Saccharomyces cerevisiae S288C: one gene and its partners. The gene in region 1 interacts genetically with each later gene. Each region holds a gene or a part of one and is shown in the gene's direction. Other genes may lie near its edges.

What was found.
Region 2: mutations in PAM16 (region 1) and ATP11 impair growth when combined (synthetic growth defect), as found in Saccharomyces cerevisiae (2 studies listed by BioGRID, with this or other methods).
Region 3: mutations in PAM16 (region 1) and PAM17 are lethal when combined (synthetic lethality), as found in Saccharomyces cerevisiae (3 studies listed by BioGRID, with this or other methods).
Region 4: mutations in PAM16 (region 1) and EFM1 impair growth when combined (synthetic growth defect), as found in Saccharomyces cerevisiae (2 studies listed by BioGRID, with this or other methods).

The regions. Positions count from the first base shown.
Region 1 is NC_001142.9:223,226-230,184, forward strand, and holds PAM16 (import motor complex subunit PAM16), read left to right. Parts: upstream 1-4,101; coding exon 4,102-4,551; downstream 4,552-6,959. Other genes in the region: protein kinase IME2, read left to right, coding at 1-102; SET4 (Set4p), read left to right, coding at 1,830-3,512; GSM1 (Gsm1p), read right to left, coding at 5,800-6,959. UniProt on the Saccharomyces cerevisiae protein: Essential component of the PAM complex, a complex required for the translocation of transit peptide-containing proteins from the inner membrane into the mitochondrial matrix in an ATP-dependent manner.
Region 2 is NC_001146.8:40,218-47,789, reverse strand, and holds ATP11 (Atp11p), read left to right. Parts: upstream 1-3,509; coding exon 3,510-4,466; downstream 4,467-7,572. Other genes in the region: tetratricopeptide repeat-containing protein EMW1, read left to right, coding at 1-2,482; DAL82 (Dal82p), read right to left, coding at 2,576-3,343; prephenate dehydratase PHA2, read left to right, coding at 4,715-5,719; cleavage polyadenylation factor subunit PFS2, read right to left, coding at 5,774-7,171; HXT14 (Hxt14p), read left to right, coding at 7,461-7,572.
Region 3 is NC_001143.9:560,397-567,881, reverse strand, and holds PAM17 (Pam17p), read left to right. Parts: upstream 1-1,989; coding exon 1,990-2,583; downstream 2,584-7,485. Other genes in the region: CCP1 (cytochrome-c peroxidase), read left to right, coding at 684-1,769; OAF3 (Oaf3p), read right to left, coding at 2,744-5,335; rRNA-processing protein LAS1, read left to right, coding at 5,585-7,093; transcription factor TFIIE subunit TFA2, read right to left, coding at 7,230-7,485. UniProt on the Saccharomyces cerevisiae protein: Component of the PAM complex, a complex required for the translocation of transit peptide-containing proteins from the inner membrane into the mitochondrial matrix in an ATP-dependent manner.
Region 4 is NC_001140.6:18,131-26,474, forward strand, and holds EFM1 (protein-lysine N-methyltransferase), read left to right. Parts: upstream 1-3,652; coding exon 3,653-5,410; downstream 5,411-8,344. Other genes in the region: ARN1 (siderophore transporter), read right to left, coding at 958-2,841; CBP2 (Cbp2p), read right to left, coding at 5,487-7,379; YHL037C (uncharacterized protein), read right to left, coding at 7,648-8,049; MUP3 (Mup3p), read left to right, coding at 8,111-8,344. UniProt on the Saccharomyces cerevisiae protein: S-adenosyl-L-methionine-dependent protein-lysine N-methyltransferase that monomethylates elongation factor 1-alpha (TEF1/TEF2) at 'Lys-30'.

The DNA.
Region 1 (6,959 bases):
ACTCCAAGAAATTTCTTGATACCTACATTAAAAAAATCACGGGAAAAGTTCGAGCCTCATCTATCCAATTCAAACCAACATTTTGGAAATGTAACCTTCTAATAATTTGTCATTTGACTGACGAATCGTTAGGCACAGTTATATAGTTATATACACATAGACATACATATGTTCGCATATATATTATATTACTATGCATTCACCTAAATAGCTACTGCTCTATTAATACAGTGCTTTTTCGATGGCTTTAATTTAACTTATTAGACATTACTTTGCGTTTATTCCCCTCCAATATATTTTTATGTTTGTTTTTCTTGAACATTTTATGATTTCTTGCTCTTGGCGGCTACTGATTTTGTTAAGCAACTCATCAAGAGGTCAAAAAAAGTAGAACGAGATCTTTGTGTTCGGTTACCCGGCTCAGATCCTAACTTGGTATGTTTATTCGTATAAGTTACTGTTGTCCACAGGCAATACTCTGCAGAAAATTAAAACGGCATTAATGCTAGGACAACCAGAACTGTTACTACTGTATGTGCGATAGTTGATAACTGCAACATTATGCCCGGTATATTCTCAAAAAACCCTATTACTGCATACGAAGAAATCGCAAGAGAAATCTTTCGGTTTGGAAAAGCTCACTGTGAGGTTCCTTGGAGCCAATAGTAATACAGCACAATCCAAGGAAAAATCTGGCCTATATGCAAGGAAGGAGAGATAGTCAAAAGCATTCTTTCCCCTAGAAGTTGGTGCATATATGGCATCGTTAAAACATATTACCCCCAAAATTTCTTCTCTAAACGATGTGCTTGGCCTTTGTTTTGGTTTTTGATGTCGGTCGTTTGAGGCCCCTTGCGGAAAATCGAGATCGCCGAATGGCACGCGAGGGAAGGGAAATAAGGTTTAAAGGCACTGAAACAATAGGCAAGAAGTAGGCGAGAGCCGACATACGAGACTAATGTGTCCGCGTTTCTAAGGCCACTTTTCAATGAAACGGATATTGATATGCTAGTAAAAGGACGAGCTCAAGAGCGAAAATATAAGTAAAGAATTCGAGTGCACTTGTCTCCATGCAGCAAGATTTCATATGAGTCTTTTTTATCTTTTTACTTTTTACATTACACGATATGCACTTTATGAAAATTTAACGAGGTTGGAAGCCGGATAATCAACCAAAATCAGGCACGAAGGCACACTCGTATATGCATGTTGTTGAAACTCTGTTACGCTGAACTAACAATCACACATGTAGAGGTCACCGGGAAAAGTTGCGACCCCATGGAAGGTCGATCTCTTCGTTTGGCTTTGCTTGGCTGGCGGCATTGCGCTTCTTCGCTTATACCCGTCTCTTGACGCTCGAGCTCGTTCATTGAGATACCTTTATTCTTGCACATTTTCTGGCTTTTTTCGCTACTCGGGTACATGTAATCATGCACACAGAAGGTGCTGTAGGGTGAAAGTTCCTTTGTGCTGTCGTTTGTTTTTAATGCCAAACTTTCTGGTGATCAATAACCACCTCTTTTTCCTTCAGGAAACCTTATTATTGTTCTTGGATAGTACTAGGAAGTATATAAGGAACCTCGATTTTGGTATTGCACGGCTATACACATCTAAGAAACTTTGTATAAAAGGTGGCTACCCTATTCATAGCTTGATATCAATAGGCCATCTCATCACTTTTTATTGAAAAGGAAAGGAGGGAAATATATCTGATTCAAATTACTTGTTTGCTTCTCTTTAAGACAAAAGCATAGATAATTTCAGCGTGGAACGCCGGAATAAGATTGGTACCCTCGTCAGAAAGTTACAAATACCGCTTCATCTTCAAAATGACTTCACCGGAATCACTATCTTCTCGTCATATCAGGCAAGGAAGGACATACACAACCACAGACAAGGTCATATCGCGGTCGTCGTCGTACTCATCTAATAGTTCAATGTCTAAAGATTACGGCGATCACACACCCTTGTCCGTCAGCAGTGCAGCTTCAGAGACATTACCCTCACCTCAGTATATGCCGATAAGGACATTCAATACAATGCCTACAGCTGGCCCAACGCCTTTACATTTATTTCAAAATGACAGGGGCATTTTCAACCATCATTCTTCATCAGGCTCATCAAAAACGGCATCAACAAATAAAAGAGGAATAGCAGCAGCAGTAGCATTGGCAACTGCTGCCACCATACCATTTCCACTGAAAAAACAGAATCAAGATGATAATTCCAAGGTCTCGGTAACACACAATGAATCATCGAAAGAAAATAAAATTACACCCTCCATGAGAGCAGAAGATAACAAACCTAAAAATGGTTGCATCTGCGGTTCAAGTGACTCCAAGGATGAGTTGTTTATACAGTGTAACAAATGTAAAACGTGGCAGCACAAGTTATGTTATGCTTTCAAAAAATCAGATCCAATAAAAAGAGATTTTGTTTGCAAAAGATGTGACAGTGATACGAAAGTGCAGGTTAATCAAGTAAAACCAATGATATTCCCTAGAAAAATGGGAGATGAGCGATTATTTCAATTTTCATCCATAGTGACAACTTCAGCATCGAACACAAATCAGCATCAACAGTCTGTGAATAACATAGAGGAACAGCCCAAGAAACGTCAACTTCATTATACCGCCCCAACAACTGAAAATAGCAATAGTATACGGAAAAAATTGAGGCAAGAAAAACTGGTAGTATCAAGCCACTTTCTGAAGCCACTACTGAATGAGGTAAGTTCTTCCAATGACACGGAATTCAAAGCAATAACAATATCAGAGTATAAGGACAAATATGTTAAGATGTTTATTGATAACCATTATGATGACGATTGGGTTGTTTGTTCTAACTGGGAAAGCTCAAGGTCAGCTGACATCGAGGTAAGAAAATCATCAAATGAAAGAGATTTTGGAGTCTTCGCTGCAGATTCTTGTGTTAAAGGTGAGCTAATTCAAGAATATTTGGGCAAAATTGATTTTCAAAAAAATTATCAGACAGATCCAAATAATGACTATCGTTTGATGGGAACGACAAAACCTAAAGTACTTTTTCATCCACATTGGCCTTTATATATAGACTCTCGAGAAACAGGCGGATTAACAAGATACATAAGACGGAGTTGTGAGCCCAATGTGGAACTAGTAACGGTAAGACCGCTTGACGAAAAACCAAGAGGAGATAATGATTGTAGAGTTAAATTTGTTTTAAGGGCTATAAGAGATATTCGTAAGGGAGAAGAGATAAGCGTAGAATGGCAATGGGATTTGAGAAATCCTATTTGGGAGATAATAAATGCATCTAAAGATTTGGATTCCCTACCGGATCCCGACAAGTTCTGGTTGATGGGGTCAATAAAGACTATTTTAACAAATTGTGATTGTGCATGTGGGTACTTGGGCCATAATTGTCCAATAACTAAAATCAAAAACTTTTCTGAAGAATTCATGAGGAATACGAAGGAATCCCTATCTAATAAATCTTACTTTAATACAATAATGCACAACTGTAAGCCATAAACGAAATTTTAAAATTAATAGTATTCATTTTAATCTTTTTTGAAAGCTTAATTTTATCATCATAATTTTTCTTCCAAAACTTCAATCTTGGTATTTTTTTTCGCATTGGTCTTCATTTTTTTTCTTTTGTTTTTAGCTTTAATGTTGAAAGCGTGAATATCAAAACACTTTTATAATAAATCACCACTTTGTAACTATAGAGAACAATTCATGCTTTATTTATAGATGCCACGATTAAGCATCAATCATTAGTTGAGAGGATCCTTAACGTTAAAATCCACCGCACTTTTCCTTTCAAAAAGCTGCATTGTTTCCATAATTCATTTCATGGCAGGTTAATGACTTATTTGATATGAAGAGTGAGGTTCTTATCAAATGAAATTCCTACATATGAATTTTTTAAAAGAGAGTTTTTCGTTTTACGATATTTATTTACTTCATCATCGTTTATCATTTTTCACGTAGCAAATTTTGAAGCTTCAACTTATAACTCATTTGCATCCGATTCACATATTTCAGCTGACTATAAATTTGGCAACAGCTTCGTGACTTGAGCATAAGAAAAACATAGACTTGTTGGATATAAAATATGGCTCACAGGGCTTTCATACAGGTTATAATCACAGGAACTCAAGTTTTTGGAAAAGCATTCGCCGAGGCGTATAGACAAGCGGCTTCACAATCAGTGAAACAAGGTGCTACAAATGCATCTAGAAGGGGAACAGGAAAAGGCGAATATGGTGGTATTACGTTGGATGAGAGTTGTAAAATTTTAAATATTGAAGAATCCAAGGGCGATTTAAACATGGACAAGATTAATAACAGGTTTAACTATCTATTTGAGGTTAACGATAAAGAAAAAGGTGGAAGCTTCTACTTACAGAGCAAAGTTTATCGAGCAGCAGAAAGGTTAAAATGGGAACTGGCTCAGAGAGAAAAAAATGCGAAGGCGAAAGCAGGGGACGCTTCAACAGCGAAACCTCCTCCGAATTCAACAAATTCATCTGGTGCAGATAATAGTGCAAGCAGCAATCAGTAGTCAAGGAAGCCTCCATCATTACGTCACAAGTGTTATCGAAAGCATGCAGCAGTGCATATATTTTCCTAGTTGGTTGCTTCCTGTACGTTAGGAATCTTCAACCACCATCCTTGTATTTAGTTAATATTAGTATATGTACCAAAGTAAATATACTCAGATGCCATCTCGATATACGCACCGTACACGAAAATGAAATTAAAAAAAAAATGTTGGAGCACAAGCAAGGCAGCATCAGAACGTACCGTCAGTTGGTACCAAGACAAGTCCATCCCCGTAGGCACTACAAATTATGGGAATGAGAAAGTATACAAAATATAAACTGTCTTATCATGAAGAAGAGTCGCTTAGGAATTTAAACTTTCAAATCGCATTACGCAATTCTCTAAAAACGCGAACCTTTCCCTGATATGTAATCAGGGAATTTCCTCAGAATAATATTCGATCTAAGAAACCGGAAACGAAATGAAAATTGTTACTACTTTGTTTAGGAGTAGTCAAAGTTCATTCAGCTATGGGTTATGATGAAATGATTTAAATTATTCTCGCTCCAGTATTAACTTATTACGTAATATGAGCTTAAAAGAGCAAGCTCCTCATCACTCACACTCCATAACATGAAGAACGAAAATAACCTAATCTTTAGGTTTCTATGGTATAATGAAATTAATATTATCTAAAGATAGTATTAACCACTACTGATGTTAGCCTTTTGAAAAAAAATCAAAAGAAAAATTTGAATTTTAAAGAAGAAGTAACAAAGGGAAGAAGTTTTTGCCAATCGGACAACACTAGCTCTATTTATACTTTTCTGTTGCTCCAAAAACAGGAAAGAACAAATTTTTCAATTTAGTGTGACCCGGCTAATAATAAAGAGGGAAGTAATAGGTAGGGTTTTACTGGCAAGAAATCCATATTGTTGCTCCCGAATAATATTATAAATTCTTGTAATTAATACAAAGTTTCTAGATCCACCTTGTTTAAAAATATAAAGTTATGCTTAAAATTCTTCAGGGAAGAAGGTTTTCAATGGATGATTTTACATTTTTGACGAATTCCTGAGAAACTAAATTACAATGTAAAACTGTACATAAATATAAATATTATTGTTGATACGGAAAGTAAAATAAAAAAAAGAAACGCTAAAGAATACTGAATTGCCAACCTAAGTAAAAAATAAGCGATAAAATCAAAGAAACGGACAGAATGCATATAAAAACTGTAATCAGTAATAAGCCCAAAAAATAGTGATCAGTCCATTTCAAAAATTGGTAAAAATTGTCCCATTACGAGAATTGGGATATTAAACGAGTCCCTTTTTACTGTCCAACAACAGGCACACTTCAAATAAAGACCGTTACTTAATAATAAATTGCACTTAGTAAAGATTGCTTTTCCATCCGTAGTAAAAGAAAACCCTTCTGTAATTTTTGACGAGGTAGAAGAACATGCGTTCAACATCAATAGTTTTTTCCTTTTATTGATATCATTGTAACCAAATGCCAGCAATTCGTTAAATATTTGAAAGTAATTCGAAACGCTTTTATGATCCAGATATTCAAAAATAAAGGAGGTGCGGTCTAATAGTAAATTTTTGTTAAAACCTGTTAAAGAATAGAATTCGTTACTGACAAAACAAATCTCGCCTGATCTTCTCCAGATGCACATCGGTGTGCAGCTTACTAATTTTGCCATGTTCTCCAAATCTAATAAAGCCCTTTGCAAGGTAACTTCCTGTAATAGCAAATCCTCTTCAATCATATTGGATGTTAACGAAATGAAAATTGGAGCATATCTTTCTAGTATAGAGCGTATTATAACTTCTAAATCATATCTCAAATTATGCTTTTGGGTACTGTGTTCGTCTTTTACTGAGGCAGATTTATCAATTTCAGCTCCTTCAAGAAATTTTTTTCTTAAAGTAGTTAGCAGTTTGGTGTATGCGAGCTTGTAATTATGCGGTTTTATTAAACATTTATTGTCATATAGGTCTTGAGGAGTCTTTACTAATTCACGAAACTTTGAAGGTGATATGAAATCGGTATCATGTTTCTCCAGATCTGCATCGGAGTGACTAGAACTGTCACATTCGCTTTCCAGTTTGGCGTTATGTGATGGGTGTGTATTAGCGTTTGCTCCACGATTCAAATGCAGCATGTCTAAAGATATAAAGGGCCTAGACACTACTTCATCATATGTATTGAAAGTAGAAGTGGAATGGCCGATCGAGGAGTCCTTTTGGTCATTCACGCTTTTTGTCGAGTTTAAAAGGTTCGTTAAATGCAATGACGAATTTCCCCGTGTAGATGCGCTAGGATTGGGATATTCTGATTCTTGGAGGGAAAATATCTGGGAGTTATTCGGTAAAAACGGCGTTGAAATATCTACTATATCCTTTAATTTCATGTATT
Region 2 (7,572 bases), on another chromosome or scaffold:
CAAAATGGGCCAAGAAAATGAGATGCTATTTTTGGCTATTGCCCTCTTACAGACCTTTATTCAAAATAACTACACCGGCCCAGCAGCTAGGTTGAAAGCAATCTCAGGTTTGTTTGGCAAAACTGGAATTGAAATAGGAGCAGTTAATACAGCCCTTTCCCGCTCATTAGCCATTATGGGCCAGCCTGCCTACGAATTTATGGATGATCCATTGTATTTGGTTTTATCACTATTATTACTTGAAAGGATAACCGGCCAAAAAAGCTTATTTGATGTTACCCCGGATCAAGAAATTCCGCTACCTATTATCTCTGCTGAGTCTACTCCTGGATTATTAGCTGTAGCTTATTGGTGGTGGGCAAGAGCTCTTTTGACGCAATTGTCACTGATTCCAGAACCTTCTGGGTTCCAAGCTAGTGTTGCATCTGCAATATATCAGTCTGCTGACCTTGCATATGCGATAACTAAGGAATTACCGGAGAGTATTCACGAAGATTTCAAAAGAGAACTTTGTGCAATGTACTATCTAGAGAATGTCAAATGTTCATTGGCCATCAACACAGAACATTTGTGCCTGCCATCCTTGACCAGAGCGAAAAAGATAACAAATTTTGAATTTGTAATGACGGGTGCACGCGCTACTAGAACTAAATATCAGCAAAAGGCTCATGCCGGTTTGATCATTCTTGCCAAATCCTTCACATTTCAAAATTTTGCTTTGAGAACGACATCTGCTACACCAGAAACATTTGCTTTAGAGTCCGATCTATTATTGGAGAAGCCTCATTTTGAGTCCATTGCTGATGAACCTCTAGACGAGCAAATTTATAGTAAAAGACAAAAGGTAGACCTAAATGAAGGTTATGAAGAAGATAAACTATTGCCATTGGCACTACGTCAAGAAAATATTCCAAAGTTGTTGCTGGATTTGAACCCTAACGATCAACCTACCCTATCTGATTACGACAACATCCAGTTGCTGTTACGTCTTTACACCATAAAGAACACAACTCCGGCCAAGGATCCTCTTGTGGAAGAAGAACTTACTGCTTTGCTTTCTAGAATATTATATCAAAACGGTGACAAAAATTGGTCTATTTTCGCCCGATCATTATGGGAAAGGTCAATTATTGAGACAACAAAGGCTAAAACTATTGAAAGAGGACTTTTACAAATGCAATCCCTCGTAGAAGAATTGGATTTGAAGATTAAGAGTAAATTGGTTCCAAGTTCAAGCGAAATCAATGTTGCTAGCAGGCTGTCATACATCCACCAGCTGCCGTTCATCCCTAGGTGGCAATTGGATGCCACCTTAGCTGAAAAATATATGTCGCTGGGTATTTTGAAGTCCGCTGTGGAAATTTATGAAAGACTTGGTATGGCATGCGAGACTGCATTATGTTATGCCGCTGTTGGAGATGAAAAAAAGGCAGAAGAAATCCTTCTTCAAAGAATAAATGAAAATGATTCGGATGCCAGGGCTTACTCCATTTTGGGTGATATAAAACAGGATCCATCCCTATGGGAAAAAAGTTGGGAGATTGGAAAATACGTCAACGCAAAAAATTCCCTTGCAAAGTATTACTTTAATCCTCCTCCAAAGTCTGGAGCACAACCAAATTACTCTGCTACCTTGAAACATTTAAATGACTCGTTAAGGCAATACCCATTAAGCTTTGAAACGTGGTATTTTTATGGTTGCGTTGGATTACAATGTGGTAAAATGCAGATAGCTGCGGAGGCATTTACCAGATGTGTTTCATTAGACCCTTATCATGCTCTTTCATGGTCAAATTTGAGCGCTGCATATACGAAAATGGATAAATTGAAAGAAGCTTATAGTTGTTTGAAAAGAGCCATTTCATGTGACGCTCAAAAGAACTGGAAAATTTGGGAGAATTACATGCTTGTTGCTGTTAAGTTGAATGAGTGGGAGGATGTCTTAACTGCATGTAAACAATTAGTCAGTATTAGGAGGGACAAATCTGGCGAAGGTTCCATCGACTTACCAATTATTGAAAAACTAGTAGAACTATTAGTGACTAGTGAATATCCAGAGGAGCCGCAGCAATTATCTTATTTTCAAAAGAGCTGTACTGAGTTTATCTGTAACACTTTACCTCAGGTAATTACAACCAGTGCAAGATGTTGGCGACTGGTCGCAAGAGTAGAACTTTGGAGGAAGAGACCATGGGCCGCCCTAGAATGCCACGAGAAGGCTTATAGGGCCATTTCTCACAATCCTGATTTAGAAGTTGAAGAAAAGGTTTGGAATGATACAGTGGATGCTTGTGAAGATTTGGTGGCTGCCTATGAATCACTTGGTGAAATGGAAGGTAAATATGGGCCAGGCAGTCTGGTTTGCAAAGACTGGAAATACAAATGTAGATCTACTATCAAAGCTCTAATGAGTAAAGGCAAAGGCAGATGGGATGACTCTCCTGGTTGGGATAGGCTAGTGGAAGCAAGAAGCCAAATATGAAGAGCACCTTTCATGTATAATCTGTGTATATTACGTAATGTTTGTATAAATAGATACATATGGACATGAATCAAGCATATCTAATAGAAGTTTTTATATTTTATCTCCTTGGCTGGGTGGTCTCATCTGTGAAAGGAGAGCCTCAATTATGTTGAGCTTGTTTAAAACTTTACACTCAAAATCTTCTTGCCTTTTCTTTATCACCTCGAGTTCGTTGTGAAGATAATCTAGACATATTTCCAATTCCATATTAGAGTCCGACCACGATTGCTCAGCAGCCATTTGTGGAGGCAGTACTGTCTCGCTGAACCTATTTGTACCCTTGTTTATCTTAGGGCTTTTGATGACTTTCCCGACGTCGTTATCCTTAGACAGAATCATGGGGATTGTGTGAAGAGTAGGCGGAATTCCAATCGTTATTGAATCCAGGGGCAGCGGTTGTGAGCCTGAATGCTCATCGTCGGAGCTGTGGTTATTCGGATGTTCAGCGGATGATAATTGTTGAAACGGATCAGGCCCCGGATGACTTTTAATGAAAGAAGATGATGATAAGGATGAAGATGATTCATTTCCGAATTTAGTTCTTGGTCTTGGATGTTCTGGTGCTTCGTCCAAGAGTGCTCCCATCAGCTTCAACTGGGAAGGAGAGAATTGGGCTCGATCTGCGCTGAAGAGGTCCTTCAGTCGACGAAATTTGGTTTTTAACGTCCTTGATTGTCTATATCTTGACCCAGTCTGTCTGTTGTACTCATCGAGCACCCTTTGCCAGCTATCTTGTCTGTAGGCATATGGTTTCAGATGAGGTTTGTGCCGTATCAGTAGTCGTAGAAGCAGCTCCACAGGATCCACCGATTCATCCATTATGGTTGGCTCCGCCTAAACCTTTCAAAGTATCGTTAAACCATGTTGTTATCAATGGTTCAACTCACCCGAATGGAAATAACGCTTATTTTGACGCCGTAATCGAAGGATGTGAAGAACTTATCAAGACTTGAAAATAGAGAACAAAAGAGATTTAAGAATAACTATGTGGAGACTAACCAGAAAAATCGGCACTAGAATCCATATTTCTAATCAGCTGTCGCCCATTTTTAACAAGGCAATTGGAACAGTTCCTGTTTTTCGTTTTTATTCTTCCAGCCCAGAGCAGAAGTATAGAAAGAAACTTTTGGAAGAGGCTCAAAAACAAGGTTTTAACAGCATAGAAGAGTTGAAAAATCATTTGAAAGAGACTATAGAGTCTAAGAAGCGGGAATTTAATAAAATCGACCCCCTGAAAGAACTAGAGGATTACCAACAAAAAACTCAAATGGAAAATAACAACTCCAAGCATTTGATGACGAAATCAAGAAGTCCTCTCGATCCAAGTGCTCCTAAAGTTCCCTTCAAAACATTGGACTCTTTTTTGGATGTTGGAAAACTGAAGGACTTATCGAAACAGGAAGTAGAGTTTCTTTGGAGAGCAAGATGGGCACAAAAAGATAATACATTATGCGCTGTGATTCCTGTCTCCGTTTATGATAAGATGATGGCAAATGCCAGGAATAACCCTATATTCGTGTTGCCACTTCCTAGACAAGTTCAATCTGAGGATGCAAAACCGAACGAAGAACAGGGAATGGAACTACACTACATCCAATGGCAGTTTGTCGGACCCCAAACAACACATTGTATGATGACTTCCCTAGCAGAATACAAACTACACCAGGAATTTGCAAGGCCACATACTACCTTGCAGTTCCATTCTGATTTGGTCAAGGATAAGGGAATTGTTTTTATGAATGGCCATGTTGAACCGGATACAAACGTGAATGTACAGGATGCACAGCTGTTATTGCTAAACGTGCAAAGGTTTTATGGTGCAATGGGTGAAGAAACTCCAGTTGCTAAACAGAGAGTGCAGTTGTTAAGAGATTTCTCTAAGGCCTCTCCGGGATTCACCGTCGAGAAATTGATTTCGCTATCACAGTCCATGGAAAATTAACGAAGAATTACTTCCGTATACGTATATATATATATATATATATATTAATGACACCTGTAAATAAAATACGTACTACATCATCTGCGACAAGCGTACAGTTTCTTTACACAGTTATCAGCATGACTCTTGTATTTTCATAATGAAAAATGAAAATAAAAATTTTAGTAGATGAATATAATACGCAGAAAGAACAGGCTAAAAAAGTACGAAAAGCAACTTCATTATATTTCCGCATTCATCCTTCAATTATGGCCAGCAAGACTTTGAGGGTTCTTTTTCTGGGTCCCAAAGGTACGTATTCCCATCAAGCTGCATTACAACAATTTCAATCAACATCTGATGTTGAGTACCTCCCAGCAGCCTCTATCCCCCAATGTTTTAACCAATTGGAGAACGACACTAGTATAGATTATTCAGTGGTACCGTTGGAAAATTCCACCAATGGACAAGTAGTTTTTTCCTATGATCTCTTGCGTGATAGGATGATCAAAAAAGCCCTATCCTTACCTGCTCCAGCAGATACTAATAGAATTACACCAGATATAGAAGTTATAGCGGAGCAATATGTACCCATTACCCATTGTCTAATCAGCCCAATCCAACTACCAAATGGTATTGCATCCCTTGGAAATTTTGAAGAAGTCATAATACACTCACATCCGCAAGTATGGGGCCAGGTTGAATGTTACTTAAGGTCCATGGCAGAAAAATTTCCGCAGGTCACCTTTATAAGATTGGATTGTTCTTCCACATCTGAATCAGTGAACCAATGCATTCGGTCATCAACGGCCGATTGCGACAACATTCTGCATTTAGCCATTGCTAGTGAAACAGCTGCCCAATTGCATAAGGCGTACATCATTGAACATTCGATAAATGATAAGCTAGGAAATACAACAAGATTTTTAGTATTGAAGAGAAGGGAGAACGCAGGCGACAATGAAGTAGAAGACACTGGATTACTACGGGTTAACCTACTCACCTTTACTACTCGTCAAGATGACCCTGGTTCTTTGGTAGATGTTTTGAACATACTAAAAATCCATTCACTCAACATGTGTTCTATAAACTCTAGACCATTCCATTTGGACGAACATGATAGAAACTGGCGATATTTATTTTTCATTGAATATTACACCGAGAAGAATACCCCAAAGAATAAAGAAAAATTCTATGAAGATATCAGCGACAAAAGTAAACAGTGGTGCCTGTGGGGTACATTCCCCAGAAATGAGAGATATTATCACAAATAATATGTTATATAGTCTTTTTATTTATGTATCCTAAAATCTCGTCAAAGCGCACTTTTATATGCTTAAACCTGGCAATGTGGAACTCTTGATGTTTGAATCGATGCCTGGGATTTCTTGACGCGGTTTCTTGTTGATGAATCCATTCATGTTTGGTAACGCATGTGGTTCAAGTGTAGCTGGTGGTGGCGGGGCCGCACCGAATTCACTCTTCTCTCTCACAGCATTGATGTCGTTATTGATGCCAAAAAACCATCCATTTATCTTCTTATTGTTATAAGTTGGATCATCATATGCATTAGGATCAATTGGCCTCGCTCTAGTCCAAAATCTTATGGTTCTATCCTTAGCTGCTGTGGCAAATATATGTCCTACTGGATTATATGATAACGAGGTGATACACTTATCATGGGCGTATGGAATAGTCAAAATAGGTTCGTTTAGATTTTGTAAAAGATCAAAATGCTTTAGCGAGCCGTCATAGCACGCCAGAGTGAACATAGATTCATTTATTGGGTGCCATTCTAGTGTCATATAATCCGTTTCATCTCTTACACACATTAGTTCCTTCATACTGTATCTAATGTCGAACACACGACACGATTTATCTTTTGAAATCGCCATTAATAGATTTCCCTTGGTGGGTTGAAATCGCGTCTTCAAGACAGTATGTTTGAACTTCAGAATTGATGATATGCAGTTTCCGGAACGCGGATCCCACAGTTTTACTAAATTGTCCTTAGATGCGGAGGCAATTAACCCCATCTCGGGATGCCAATCACAACTTTTCACGTCCCAGTGGTGCCCCGATAATACTCTTTCTTGTTTGCCATTGCTGAAGTTCCAAATCTTCAAGATATTATCATCTGAACAGGTAACAAATTTCGAGTCGTTACTACTGAATGCCATATCCCTAATACTTTCCGTGTGTGCAGCATCAATTTCTTTAACCATACTAAAGTTTGGTTGCCATATCTTAATCATTCCATCTGCGTCCCCACTAATCATCCAATCACTGTCGTGAGAATATTTCATTGTAGTCACAGCCGAATCATGTGCTTGCATGAGGGTTTCAAACGTAAACGAAGATGCGTTCCATAGAGAAAATTCTCCGCTATAAGTTGCTACTACAAGTCTTCTGCCTTCTGGGGTCCATTGGATGGCGGGTATCACATGTTTCACTTTATTCGAGCTTAAATGCGTAAATTTGCTGGGCAAATTTATGACTCGATCTCGACCTCTGTAGGCATTAGGCGGCATTATATCTATTGTGTATGAAGTTTCTGGCTCTACCACTAGGTTCGGTAATCCATGTCGTCTGTTGTAATATAGGTTAATATACGGAGAACTCACGTCTACCGATCGTCTCTGTGTCACATATTTCTTCAGAGGTGGTTGTTGTGACTGCTGAATTTGATTCTGATTCTGGTACTGGTTCTGATTATGCCCGTCCATAACGTGTCTATGTTGAGCTTCTTAATATCTACCCAGCAACCTGTATATCAGTGCTTTCTTTAATTATACTTCCCTTGACAAATCGATACGTCGGCCCTCAAAAGAAGAGGAAAAAAAATAGAAAAAAAAATAGAAAATAAAAATGTCAGTAATTCTAATGATGACACAAATTCAAATAGCAACATTGAATACTGTTTAACAGAACAATTAACCACTTTTAATTAGAAATACTAACAAAGAATTTGTTAACGTATTCTTAGGAAGTAAAGTACTTCAATTATTGCTAGAAATGACTGCTCAGATTCCGTATCAACATAGCTCGGGATACATCTCTCATTTTCACAATAATGAGCTTGATGCAGGCAGGGGAAGGGATTATAATGTAACCATTAAGTATCTAG
Region 3 (7,485 bases), on another chromosome or scaffold:
TTTATTAGATGTGAAAGTAGAATTTTGCTCTAGCGACGAAGCACGAAAAGACACTATCTTATACTCAAGCTGCCACTTCTTCAGGGTCTCTCCTCTTTTCTCTCCCCTCTTTATTACTCCTCTCAACCTTACAATCAAAGTGAGCCATTTACTTCGAAAATGCGGAGCAACGGCGGGTTACTGGTGTTCCAGCAAGAGCTGTAATAATTCAATATAACTAGTAAGAATAGCCAAGAAAGCCAAAAGACGAGCTTGGATCGATGCGAAAATGTGGTCGCTCCACACCAATTACTAGTTATCATTTAGCGCTGCCGTGTGGCGACTACACTTCAGCGACCTATGTAGCTTACATAATGTCGGGATGATTTCTCCCGCAGCTAGATCTCGCCAATGGAAATTCCAAAGCCAAAGAATATCCTGCTTTGTCAGGAATTTCGTAAACCATGGTCAGGCCCAGATTTGTAGTTTTCTTTACCAACGACAGCGATGAGTTATTTGGTCCTGAGTACTGAGTAATATGACTCTCTTGGCATCCAGGGGCCGGCCCAAGCCGGCTGTTACCAATTTAGGAAAGGACCCTGGAGCGAAAAGTACTTAAGCAGAGACTATTGTACACGCTCGCTAACTCAAGAACATGAATTTCGCATTCATGCAGACGCAAACACACACGTATATCTACAATTATGACTACTGCTGTTAGGCTTTTACCTTCACTGGGCAGAACCGCCCATAAGAGGTCTCTCTACCTGTTCTCCGCTGCTGCTGCTGCTGCTGCTGCTGCAACTTTTGCTTACTCGCAATCCCAAAAGAGATCATCGTCTTCTCCCGGGGGTGGTAGTAACCACGGATGGAACAACTGGGGGAAGGCAGCTGCTTTGGCTTCCACTACACCGCTCGTTCATGTCGCCTCTGTCGAAAAAGGGAGGTCATACGAGGACTTCCAAAAGGTGTACAATGCGATTGCACTCAAGCTGAGGGAAGATGACGAATATGACAACTATATAGGCTATGGGCCCGTATTAGTCCGTCTTGCTTGGCACACTTCAGGGACCTGGGACAAGCACGACAATACAGGCGGGTCATACGGTGGTACATACAGATTCAAAAAGGAGTTTAACGATCCATCCAATGCGGGCTTGCAGAATGGCTTCAAGTTCCTGGAGCCCATTCACAAAGAGTTTCCCTGGATCTCCTCGGGTGATCTGTTCAGTCTAGGGGGTGTCACTGCCGTGCAGGAAATGCAGGGTCCCAAGATTCCATGGAGATGTGGTAGAGTCGACACGCCAGAGGATACTACCCCTGACAACGGGAGACTGCCTGACGCTGATAAAGACGCTGACTATGTCAGAACATTTTTTCAAAGACTTAATATGAATGACAGAGAAGTAGTTGCTCTTATGGGGGCTCACGCTCTGGGCAAGACCCACTTGAAGAACTCTGGATACGAAGGGCCATGGGGAGCCGCTAACAACGTCTTTACCAATGAGTTTTACTTGAACTTGCTGAATGAAGACTGGAAATTGGAAAAGAACGACGCGAACAACGAACAGTGGGACTCTAAGAGCGGCTACATGATGCTGCCCACTGATTATTCTTTGATTCAGGATCCCAAGTACTTAAGCATTGTGAAAGAATACGCTAATGACCAGGACAAGTTCTTCAAGGATTTTTCCAAAGCTTTTGAAAAACTGTTGGAGAACGGTATCACTTTCCCTAAAGACGCGCCCAGTCCATTTATTTTCAAGACTTTAGAGGAACAAGGTTTATAGGTCACTGAGGAAAGATATTATTTATTGGTTATATTTCGTATTATTTATCTATTTATTATATTTATTATTATTTAGGCTTATGCTTTTTTCTGAATATCATCTAATACGTTTGTACGGTACGTCTATGAAAAATGGAAAGCCATACAATGGTATATCATAAGGGAAACTATGTTCAAAGAAGTGTTAAAAACATTCAGAAAACATTGTCCGCCTCTTCAAAATGTTTACCAGTGCCATTAGATTGTCATCGCAAAGACTGTTCGCTAGTCAACCTTCTGTCACCGCTGCGGCATTGCGCTCGACTGCTACAACCTTACCCTTAAGATCATATTCTCAGCCCGCATCCCTTCAAGACTCCAGTATCTTGACATGGTCTGATTTTTTCAAATTGAGGAAACAGCAGCGTAGAATCAATGTTGGTTCTTCGCTGTTTACTGCTCTTTTGGGCTGTAACGTTTCATGGGCTTACCTTTCCACAATGGAAATAGACCCGACTCAAATGCTATTCGGATTCGACCCATTAACTGTAATTTCAGCTGGGATAATAGCCTCTGGTGCACTAGGCTACTTGTTGGGTCCGATAGTTGGTTCGCAAGTTTTCAAACTTTCCCATAACCAACAATTGGCACAGTTCAACAACAAAAATAAAGAGTTTCTAAAACATATCATCAATAACAGGGTCGATGCCTCTTCTCAAAGTTTCAGTAATCCTGTTCCAGATTATTACGGTGAAAAGATAGGTTCCTTAAAGGAATATAAGCAATGGTTAAGAGATTGTCACGCTTACGCAAAGAAAGCCAAAGAATTTTTGTGATTGAACGTGTGATCTTTTCCTTCTTCTCAGACTCTGTATATATACATATATGAATAAAGTAGTGCGATATATAACGCTACTAAATAATTCGAATGAAATAGGGAGGAAGTGAAAGGTATGAATATTGTATATGTCCTATACGTCTCTTTTATCTCTGACTTTAAAAAAATGATACGAAATCCACAGGATCAAAAATATCTTCAATCACGTCAAACTCTGAGACAATTAAATCATTAACAGGCAAAGCGGGTGCTAAAGGTTGTTGTAGTAGTTCTTTTTGCGGAATTTCAGCTACTTGTTCATTCGTAATGCTTATGTTGGTATCAACTTCAGTATGTTTAGCTAATTGTGAACTGGCGTGATCATAAAAGGATGAAAAAATATTAAACCTGTCGGAATATTTCTCCATATCCAAGAATTCTTGCATTTCCTTTATGCGCATTTGAAACTTAAATCCTGTCATATCATCGTTGTATTTACCTATGGGATAAAACTCATTGTTCCATATACTTAGAATATCTGGCCTATACCCATCATATTTTTGTACTGTCTCCTGAAATTCTAGTATTATTGGACAGATGTCATTTAATCTCATATCGTTGTAATCTATATAACTATCACCGTTATCTTCTAGTTTCAATTCATTCAGCAAAAATTTTAAAATAATTCTCCATGCATCTTTTTCACATGAGCGATTCAAGATCTTGTAGGCAATTTTAGCGGTGAACATTTTTCTAAAACAACGATAGTACTCAAAGCCAAATTCGTTAAAATACACAGACGAGACCCCGTAAAGAAATTCTATCATTTTCTTCTTGTCGGCGTACTGAATTGTTTTGAAGCGGTCTCCTCTGAGAATGAATGCCGGAACAATGACCAAAACTTTGTTTGCGACAATTTCCACGATTCTATTGGTATAAAACTTTGTCAATGAATCCACCTCTAAGGCATCACTGTTAAAAAAGTAATTGTAGCACTTCTCTGAGATATGAATGACCATATCCCACAAATCTTGGAAACTCTTATAAAATTTTGTAATATTGCAGTCATATTCATAAAAGATCATTTCTCCGTGCAGCAAACTTAGTGAGAATAAATCTATTATCCATTCCATTTCGAAATCAAAATGACGCATTGTTTCTTTTTCGTTTTTCGACAGGCTTTTTAAAATATGAAAGTTTCTTTTTAAATCATTTATTAGTCGGTGCAACAAGTTCAAATCTACCTTTCCTGGATCATCGTTCAACGTATCGTTTATCTTTTTCATCAAGTTATCCAGGGTTAACATTCGTATATACCATGTGGGTGTATCTGCTTCTTCTTTGAAATGGCACTGCAAGGTTTTCCCAATTTGACATTCTTCACCGCTAATAAAACACATCTTCCTGTCCCAAAATAAAACATAACTCCATATCTTTCTGAAAACTGAAATGTAATCGCTAGGTTTCATTATATCGTATGAAGGCCTCGTATGTCGGTTTATTTTAAATGAATATTTTTCTGGATGAGAGAAGCAATACCAGTTAATGCCCATTTCTTTACATGATGATATTATTGTCCCCATTAAGATTTGACAATATTGAGTTTCGGGTCCATCGCCATCTTCAGGGGCACACCAGTGCAAGAACCTTAGTAATATGAGACATTGCAACTGTAATAAATTACATTTTCTGAGGACCTTCGTCTCGAACAAATAGTGTTTAACAAGAGCCAAAAACTTAGAGGTATCAATTTCTTGAAGAACCGGGTATATATATGGAGTTAGCTTCGAAAACTGGACAGAAAGTCGGCATATTTTAATAATCAACAAGATTATGCAGAAAACCATATGATCGTAGTGTTTTATAGAAATTGGATTCCCTTTCTCGACTATATTTTGATAAAATATCGTTATTTCATGACGCAAAACTTTCATATCGAAAATCGGTATCATATTGTAAATTTTTTCTTCAAAAAGTGCTAAAACCTCACTTTCAAGTATTTTTAAAGGAGGCAAATAATCCTTTGCTAATATAGTTTCTGAGCTGAATTTTTTAGCATTATTTTCTCTGTATTGAGCGAATTTGTTAAACAATGATTTGTGAATAGTCTGATGCATGCGGAAGTTATTGCCCTTACCAACAACATCATCGCTAATGTGGCGTTCGTCATCAGCATCGAAAGTGGATAAAGCTTCGAAAGATTTAGGCAAGCTTCCATTTTTCACATTATTGCCGTTGCTTCCCAATTTATCCATCATTTTTTTGATTGCGATACTTCTAAATGTTACCATTGCTTGGAGATAGGGGTCGCGATTTTCAATTGCTCTATCCGTGAACAGACCAAATAAATTATCAGCAGACCTTTTGGTCTCTAAATAAAACCCATTAGGGATGAGGTCAATAAAAAATGGAGTTTCTTCATGAATTGGTAGATAATAAAGTGATGATTGATTTTCAAGTTCTCGTACTCTTTGCCAGTGATCTTCGTCTTGTCTTGTCTGTGACGATCTTCTTTTCTTAATGAAACCTGGACTTATTCGTTCCGCAGGAGTTGATTGTTTCCTCAGAGGGTCAGCATCATTCAATGAAGGACTGCTTTCAGGTTGTCCAGAGCTATCGGTGAGATAGACACAGCTGTCCACATCTCCCAGTCGTACACATGTTCCACATGGTTTCGTTCGATCGCACTTACTTTTCCTTTTTTTGCAATTTGTGCATACTACAGTAATTCGATGTCGTTTTTTTGTCCTAACTTGGGAGTCATATCCCATTATGAGATCAGTTGTCAACTAAAGTCTGGTATCAATTGGTTTCTAGTTTCTTTCTTCTCTTCATAGACTCATAACACTGCAAAATCGCAACAATAAATTCATGACTTATTGTTATGCAAAAAATTACCCGAATGTGAAAGATTAATAAGCTCATCGCAGTCGCAGAAAGAGTGAAAAAAATACCTAAGAATGCCTAAATTAGCTTAAACAAAAGTCATTTCTAGAAAGCAATGAAAAAAGGGCAATCTAATGATACCACCACGAATCGTTCCATGGAGGGATTTTGCTGAACTAGAGGAGCTGAAACTTTGGTTTTACCCGAAAAGCAAAGGAACCATTGAAGATAAGCGACAGCGTGCAGTGCAAAGAGTACAGAGCTACCGACTAAAGGGTTCCCAATATTTACCTCACGTGGTGGACTCTACAGCACAAATAACATGTGCGGTATTGCTAGACGAAAAGGAAGCGTGTTTAGGAGTACATCAGGATTCTATTCCTATCCGGTTATCGTATGTAATGGCTTTGATTCGGTTTGTCAATGGCTTATTGGATCCAACGCAACAATCTCAGTTCGCTATTCCCTTACACACATTAGCTGCTAAAATTGGACTGCCGTCCTGGTTTGTTGATTTGAGACACTGGGGTACACATGAGAGAGATTTACCTGGATTAGAAATGCTTCGTTGGGCCGCCAATGAAGCGTTATCTTGGCTATATGATCACTACTGGAACGATGAGGAATTAGAAGATGACAGGGATGATGATGACGATGATGATGATACCGGTTACGGATACAGAAGAAATGATAAACTGGAGAAATATATGGAGTCATTAACTAAAACACTTGATAAATGGAAGCGACTTAGAAACGAGTTTCTGGAATACAAATGGGTGTGGGAGAATGCAAACGATAGTTTAATTACAAGTAGTAACTTTTCTGGGGATAATTTGGTGAACTATGATGCCGAAAAGAGGAAAAGTTCACACGCAAGTTCATCAGAAACTATGATCAGGGAAAATTTGCGTCAATGGCAAGAACTTTGGAAATTATCCATTTATCACAATGTGGTTCTTGAGAAATTTTTTAACAATTATGACCCACTTTTACTCAAAGTTTTAATGCTTAATTTGAACAATTTTGATTGGAAGGTCATTGAGTGGGTAGCTAGGAATTACAGAACCCAACAAGATGATAGTAATATAACGACAATTTTAAAAAGGAAATTCAATGCCTGGAAAGAACTACAAAAAAGGCTGTTAGATGTTATTATAAATAACCTTAACAATAAAAATTTTAAAAATAAATGGCAAAATTGGGAGAAACTTATTGATGAAAATGCGTCATACTTGATATTGTATTTTTGCCAATCTATGCTGGCCAAACTAGAGACTGAAAAAATTACTGGTAACTCATGGAGAAACAAAAAACGGAGAAAACAAATTGATAGCACAGTGGAAATCGAGGCAAAACTGAAGGAAAACATAGACAATTTATCATTAAGGTTTAATGAAGGTGAAATAAAGCTGTATGATTTTATTCCTGCGGAAAAAGATTCCGTTCCATTGAAGAAGGAAGTGAGTCCGGCATTAAAGGCTGATACCAATGATATACTAGGCGATTTGGCGTCTTTGAAACAGAGAATGAGCAGTTTCGGAACAGTAGGTAAAAAAAATAAACAAGAGGAGAACAGAGCTACACCAGTAAAAAATTGGTCAAGGGTTCAAAATTGGAAACCCAAACCCTTTGGTGTCCTGTAACCTGTTTCCAATGCTCGTTATAAATACGTTGTAGACTATAAAGCTGAGTTGTATGCTGCACCCTAACGTGCATGTATATATAATCACAGTCTCTTTAACCTAATATGCAAACGAAAATGATTTAATCAAAACAACCTCATACTCTATGGGAATAATCTTTCAAGATACCGGTCATATGAGTGTTAGTAATCTTACCCTTTCTTTGTCTCTTCTTTTTAACTTCAACTCTCTTTGTTTGTCTTTTGATAGTAGCAGGATCGACACTAGCAGGCTTTAGACCTAAATCTTGCAGCTTTCTTGGCAATTCTGCAAATTGCGGTAATTGCACATTTTCCCACATTTTAACAAACTCCTCGTCAATACATTTCAAGTTACCACCGCTGTTATACCAA
Region 4 (8,344 bases), on another chromosome or scaffold:
CAAGATTTTCTTTTTACGAGGGCACGTTATAACGTTGGACTCAAGGGGAAAGTTTCTAAAGGCACAAATAAACATTATGGGCTTATGGAAAAGGTGCCAGTGACGTGATGGTTACGCCTCGCCATTCATGTTAAACGATGTAAATTACTTCTATTACAGGATATTTTCTTGCCTTCGTTTAGCGTATTATCAGCCCTTTTCTCTGTTTTACAAATAAGGAAAGCGCGACGTCAGCCAATGTGAATACCGTTTATGGTTCAACCTTGTCTACATTTAGCTACTTTTTTTTCTTTTTCGAAAGCATTGATGCGTTTGCTCGGTGATTACATCATAATTAGTGAACACACGCAGCAAACCGTGATCACTGCGAGTATTCTACTCTTGTCATCCCAGACTACAAGTAAATCATACTATCTCTTTACAAGCTGAATGGAATGGGGCTTAGCCGACTGGAAGGATAGGCTTGCCAAGGAAAAACAAAGAAAAAAAGGCGAGTGGATTTAAGATTCAGCGACCGCCTGTCTTCCCTTCCTTTTTCACCATAGTTGACATAACACTTTATCTTGTCTTTATATCTCTTCTCGAAGCACTTATGATAACCGACTTCAAAGTCAAGGTACATAATTATTCAACGCCTCTAATTTTTCACTTGTTATGAAGCAAGTGCTGAGACAACTGGCCAATCGATGTTATAAACAGGCAGAACAAAAGAAGTAAAGATATTACTCTGTTACGTAATATTAAGTAGTGCCGCACTATACATGTAGATATGCATATACTGTTATGGTAAAAGGAATATGCAAAGAACTAGACATTTCTGATCTTTTCTTTTCTTGGTTATGATCATTAGAATGGTAGAGTCTTGTAGAGAGGAAAAAGTAGGAGGTGACACCGTATATTTTGGGCAATATAGTCATGGAAAGTGATATCAAGCAATCATGCAACGTAAACATCAACTTATTCCCGTTTAAAAGTGAATTTTGATGGAAGTTTTTCAAACCAATCCAAAATTGGATCATTGTCTTTCGTGTCGACATATTCGCCATCCTCGATGTATTCCACAGCAACAGTATCAGTCAATTTAGGATCCCTTAGACATAAGGAGAATGCAATTAATGGAACACAAAATACTAAAGCCACGATAGTTTCCAATCTTTGAACGTATTTGTAAGCGTTCATTAAGGCATTCCTTTGTGGGGTACCCCAAGTATAGGTTTCAATGAAAGTATATGGAGATTCGTAGGCAGTTGTGGCTAGAGCAACATCACCCATTCTCTTCAAAATTTGTTTGTACAAAGTCTGAGTCCAAATGGCACCGGAAACTGCGGAACCGACAGCAGAACCAATTCTATAGAGGGTATAGTTTAAAGCTGTAACTGTCGCCATGTTTTCATGAGAGACGGCAGATTGTACAGAGACGGTAACTGGGTAAGTGAACAAAGTAGTGCCCACACCCCAGACACATAATGCACCAATAATACCTGAATGGGACTGACTTCCACCTCTAAAGTGGTACAATAAACCCATAGCCACCATCCATAGCGCGCATCCAAACATTATGAATGGTTTCAATCTCGTACATCTTGTTACAAGTAAAGCGAAAAATGGAGAGGCCACAGTAGAGACAAATGAAGATAATGTGGCAATTCTGGTTGCAGATTTAACGGATTCATTGACGGCAACAATCATAACCGTGTACAAATAATCAGCGGCCATATAGTAAATAAAATCAATCAGGAAAGAAATACCCATAGAAGACCATACAGCCCTATCTTTGACCAGCCTATATGGAAGAATTGGATCTCTAGCGAATCGATATTCCCAAATCCATAAGATAGGGATCAAAACAAAGCCAAGAACAAAGGGGCCGATCAATCTTGAATCATTCCAGGTAGTTTTGACCCCACCAGCCAAGGTCAGTGGGACCAAGATACAACCTAGGGAACAACCCATCAAAAGGACACCAACGACATCTAACATCCAAAATAATTGCTTTAAGATCTTAATAAAACCATGTTCTTGATAATAGGACTTCTGGCCCTTCAAAGCGTGCCATTCAGGAGTCTTTCTGGCCCTCCATTGCATGTGCAACATACACAAAACGATTGGAACACATGATAGGGGAAAGATGAAAGCCCACATACCTACATCCCAAGACCAGTTGACAACAGGATTGGCTCTGGAAGTGATATTACCAGCAATCCATGTGTTGATGATAAAAGGCCAAGTCGGGACAAATTGATACAGCAGTCTCCACTTTAAAGATGAAAAATCGGATAGGATAATCAAAAGAATAAGGATTACACCCACATAGCCAGCATTGTAGAAAATGGCACCTGCAGCGTATCTTTGAACATCATAAGCTTGTGATTGAATAATTGTACCCACAACATATAGGATGACAGCACTAATGAAAAGGTATAGTCTACCAAACACATCAGACAACCTAGCGTATATGATTTGCGAAGCGGCACTGACCACAGCATTAATGACGTTGATTGTAGACAGCAGAGAATGCTCACTATAGGATGATGTGGCGTAACCAGTGTAAATATAACGGATGTTACCGTCCAGTCCATAACCGTAGCCACATATGAAAGCACTCAAAAGTAAAATCGCTTGTAAGTACCATTTATTGTAAGCAGAGCCAATGATTTCAGTCTGCTGGATAATTAGGCTCCTGTTCTGTCTCAAGGCATTGTATTTTTCAGATAACTGAGGGAGACCATATGAGTCGGAGTTGGAATCGTTATGAGTCTCAGGATTCAACTCGTGTTCCATTCCCATGAAGACATGTTTCTTTTCCTCCTTAACAGGATCGCGAGAGTGAACAGACTCCATTAGTACGTTGCTATGCAGTGGCTTGAACTACTGTCCATATATTTTTAAGAAAGAAAACAAGAGATATAGTGAACGAAAGCAAAAAGAGAGCTATCGAATGTTTCCTCCCCTATATACAATTATTCCTGAAATCTTCAGTTCTATGCATCTTGCATTACTTCATGTAAACTGTACTCCGATTTGCTTGGCCTTTTTTTCTCTTTGACACTATTTTCCTAACGATATGTGCTTGTTATATCACACCTGCTTTTATGGGTGCATTTTGATAAATTTGCAATCCCAAACAGGAAAGAAGTGAAAAAGGCCAAGACATATGTGGCTTTCTAACAAATACAGGCACACAAATTTCGTAAGAGAACAAGTCCTAAAGATGAACGTTAATGATAATATACAATTGTCTTCTCATTTCTGTTGATGGATTTTCATTCGCAGGTGTATTTTTCCATCGCTTCGTGATAGAGCTGCCAGTACGCTTCATCGCGGTCGCTTACATGCGTGATATTTAGGGGATCTTTCATTGGCTTCCGATCAGATAATATGTATCATTAGTCAGCGGAAGTTACAGGTGGAAACCCTCCCCACCTTGATAGTTGTCTTGATTGTATAGGCCTGTAATCTATTACTATTATTCTATTGGAGTCCTGCTCGTTGTTCGTTCAAGGCGAATGTGCCTGCGATGAGTTGACTATGAAAAAGAAAATTTTTCAACTTGAACTTGACCATTCCAACAAAGAAGAAATGATGGAAGTAAAAAAGACTAAGGAATCAAGCTTGGTGAAGCTACCTCGTCATTTAATTAACGAACTTCTGCATGATCACCCAAACTGAGCTAGATAACTGCTTACAATGGGCTCAAAATAATGGAGCCTTCATCGATCCGAAAATCTCTTTTAGGATTACAGAGGATGCTGGTGTTAGTGCATTTGTAAACGAAAAATTCTCTCCCAAACCCGACCAAGCTTTGATTAGGGTACCCGAAACTCTGCTGATCACTTCCCAGCAAGCTTTATCAGAATTTTCCCAGGCTGCTAATGAAAGGAGTCTTTTGAATTCCGTGACACAGTTGTACTTGTCAAAGTTGAAATTTGGCACCGATGCAGTTCACCTGAAATCCTTTTACAAACCATATTTAGATGTGCTACCCTTGCACCTTCCACAACCATATTTTTGGTCTACTGATGAAGTCATGAATTTGCATGGTACAGACGTGTACTTAACTATGAGAGATACGCTGAACAAACTAGTAAAGGAGTGGAGGATGCTGTTCCAAGCTTTATCTATTGAACACTCTTCTCAAGATAAGCAGTTCTTGTCTTTATTCCAGGAGAATAAAGACTCTGCCGTAGTGCCGTTGGAACAGTTCTGCGCACACATCAATGGATGTAAACTAGAAGATTCGGAATGGAACTCGTTCGTGGCGTATCTTTGGTCGTACTGCATCTTTAATTCTAGGGCATTTCCTCGTGTCATTTTAGGCAGGGCCGGTACAGACCGCACCAATCTGAACGAAGGATTTTTGTATCCAATAGTAGATTTATTAAACCATAAAAACGATGTACCAGTAAGATGGGAGATGAATGAACAAAATGAACTTTGTTTCATGTCGCAGACTACCACATTTAGTGCACAGGATGAATTGTTTAATAATTATGGTAATATTTCTAATGAAAAATGTTTGTTAAACTACGGGTTTTGGGATTCCTCGAATAAGTTTGACTTCTCTAGGTTGACTTTAAAGCTACCATCCACCTTAGTTAGCGGTTTGCCCGTGGATTTTAACAAATCAGGTAATTTTGTTACTGACGATGGAGAAACTACCATTTTACAATTTAGTTTAAAAATTTCTGAACCATTACCACCGGTTCTACTAGCGTTATTTGCCTACCTAAGTAAATTAAAGTCTGAAGAAACTCCAACCGTAAGGAGCGTATTGGAAGGTATTGATCAATTAACATCTGTAGTATCCCAGAGATTGCTGTTTTATAAGAATTTTAAAATTAAAACTTCTTCGACTCAAAAATTACGCCCTCATGTTATTAAACTAATCAAACTATACTATCAAGATAACAAAAAAATTCTGAACGCCACTACTGAGAAATTGTCCGTTTTACAAAAAAAAATATATAGCAATAATAAGGAGTTTTCTCTGTCATTCAAGACAATTTTTAAAAACGACAAAATATTTGCCAATTCTCTCTTACTGGTATTTGGTGCTATAAATTACGAAGATTTGATCACAAAAGACTGTCTTAATGACGCATTGTTGCTCTGGATAGTCAAATTAATCAACGATAAAAGTAATAATCAGGGAGGTTTCATTAAACAAACCTTCAAAGAAGTTAGTGATTCAATTGTCATTGAAAAAGAAGATGTTATGGAGTTTTTGCCGTTCTATAAAAAATACTTCCCTAATTTATCGGAGAGAATTCCAGAAATTTATAGTGTCGGTGATTGGGGCATAAGACAGTTCATTGTGGCAGATACTGCGATTGATAGATTGGTTTGGATCAGGAAATCAAATAAAGAGCCTATATTTCTAATGAAGAAGGCATACGACTTACAGATTTAGCTTTGATCTGTAGCCTAAGTATAAAATTCTACGTATGTATATATTTACATGCAATTTTTTCTTTTTCCAATTCATGTTAATGTTCTTCATCATTTGATAATAGGCCAATGATATTATCTACTATCTTCTCCTTTTGAGGAGAAGCTGCTTTCACTTCCTCGTTGCTTTTCTCTTCGTATAAATACATGAATTTCGACTTGTCCAGCATTTTTTTATCAATACAATGCATGTGCCCATGAAGTTCTACCTCCGACAAATCTTTAACAAAATATGTCGTTATTTGTGTCATGAATTTCAGTAGGGTTTGAAATATTTCGGGTATGGCGTTCTTCTTATCCAGAATAACAATTTTGTAGTTTGCTGATAATGTTATTGGACGAAGCTGGATGGGCCTATTTACGCGGAACTTTTCGCCATATATTTCCTGTTCGAAGTATAAAAGTTGGTTGGCCAATTTCTTTAATCCGTTTGCAGATTGTAGCGATTGTTCATTCGCAAAACCAGGTTCTATTGTTGCATTTATTGACTCAGTGAAACCCACCAACTCCATTAAAGTTGGTCTTAAATCATCTTGCATAAACTTGTACAAGTTTGGCTGGAAAATTCTAATCATTTTCGATTTTGTCAGCACGGTTTGCAAAATTAATGTGATGTGTTCAAATCTTGATAAAGTCGTTTCATCATTTTGGAAAATAGAGAATTGGTTCCATTTCATTTCTGAAATTACCAGTGCGGAATATGTTTGTAGGTCATGAAGAAAAGAGTCGTATTTTGTCTTGTAGTTGATCAGAGAAGCTTGGTCCGTGGGTATTTTCATGGACTCGGTCTCTTGATATTGCTTCCATATATATGAGTCCCAAACATTCCAACTAAATTGAAAGGAAGGCGCATTATCGTTACCAGAGAAGGAACGGATGCTTTTCTTGTTACGTTGTAAAATGGTGAATATATTGTAGAGAATGAAATTTTTGCAAAATTCAGCCCTCAATTGCCGGATGGAGAAGTCGTTTGATAATATTGTAGCTCTTAAAATGTCTCCAGGGCACGTTCTGTCTTTGTTTGATTGTTTGCTCCACAATGTCTTATGGCTAACCGATCTTTCTAAAAGTTGCTTCAAAGTGACGACATTACCACCAGCGATTCGAGTTGTGGCACTGTTTGCATCCAGATAGAATGGTTTACCCTCTTCGTTCGCCAGTATCCGACCAGCGTTAGCCTTCTCAATGCGCTTTCGTTCATTCAAGGTGCAAAGTGGCGAAGCTATCTTGGTCTTCAATTTGTCTACCTCAGTAACGAAAAATTCTCTATGTTTATCTACAAAGTAAGGGAAAATACCAATTCCATCGAATTCCCCAATCATCGCCTCATCGGAAACCTGGAAAAGAGGCAAGGGCTTTGCATTAGCTGGGTTTACAAACATGGGTACCTCACCATTATTTTGTTCCAAGAGTCTATCGTAAGTGCTCTTCTTAACCCCGATTCCCCGACAAAAGTTTGAAAATATCGACTTAGGCCAAATTACACGCTGCAGTTTCAACTTATCATCTTTGCATCGTACCCTTATTAATTGTTGCCACTCGAAAGATGGCTTGAAGTCCTCATCCATTTCGCTGAACAACTTCTCGTAGAGACTTAAGGGGTGGTCAAACATAGGCGCAATCCGTTCCCAGTGTTGGATCCTCTTCTTCGAGGATTTTTGAGTTAGATCTGTTCTAACAATCTTGAATGCGTGTTCGCGAGGGGCGTTTATATCACGTAATAGCAGTTTTTGCAAGTCCGTGAGTGAAATATTATACAGTACTCCTTCAAGATCACAATATTCATAAGATAAGTTTGTCTTCTTAAACGCTTGCTTACAGCGAGGGAACACCTGATGTGTGATATTCTCCATGTTGAACTTATACCTGTAACGAGAGGAACTGCCCTGTCTCCTCAATGAGACCATGAACAATGTTTGCCAATTCACCATTTTGGTCACTCTGTCTCAAACCTTTCCTTCAGCGCAGCCTTACTCCTTCAAGAGAAGCCTTCATTGTCCATTCACTTAAGCATAATTTGTCATCTTCAATGCAATTGAACTTTCACTAAATACACCCATACACACCAATCTTGGATTCTACTCGGCGGCAATCTTCACTCTTTCCTTTGTTTTATCATTTTCTATTCCACCTTTAGTTCCCCAACTTCACCTCTTATCGAACTATCAACACATTTGACTATCATTTTGGCAAATTCACTCACGTGAGGGCGTGTGCTAACCATGCAAGGGTTATGGCATGCGCATCCATGTGGCGTTTCCTACTTTTATTTTTACATAATATATAAGATAATTGCACATGCAAACAGTCAATCTTTTTCCTGCAATTGATGTGGAGACCAAAAGGTTTGCATCTCCTAGTACCACGATTTTTTGGTGCAAAAGTGTTGATAATGTAATTCAGGTAGAAAAGGTAGAAGTTTCCTCTAGTATGTTCACAGATTGGATTAGAAAAAAAGATCACGCGACTCTTGCCGGAAAAAACTGTGGCGTCGCTGCATATATATGACAAATCAATCATATAGATTAGAGGCCTGCCTGAGTCAAGGGGCAAAAACAATACACATATAAAGACCTGGATGCTTATCGATGATCTGTACATTCTGTTTGTAGTCTAAGTTGCTGAGGGCAACGTAGACGTACAGTGCTCAAAATAAGTAAAAATGGAACCGCTGCTTTTTAATAGTGGGAAAGCAAATCCCTCTCAAGATGTTTTCATAGATGTGGAAGTTGGTGATATTACCACAAAATATGGTTCCACAAATACTGGATCATTCAGTTCGATGGATACTGTGGAAGCGCAGGCGATAAAGGCAGAGACGGCAAGATTCATGGAAGTTCCACAGGGAAGACATTTAGGTGTGTTCTCCACGGTTGTGTTATTTGTTTCGAGGATA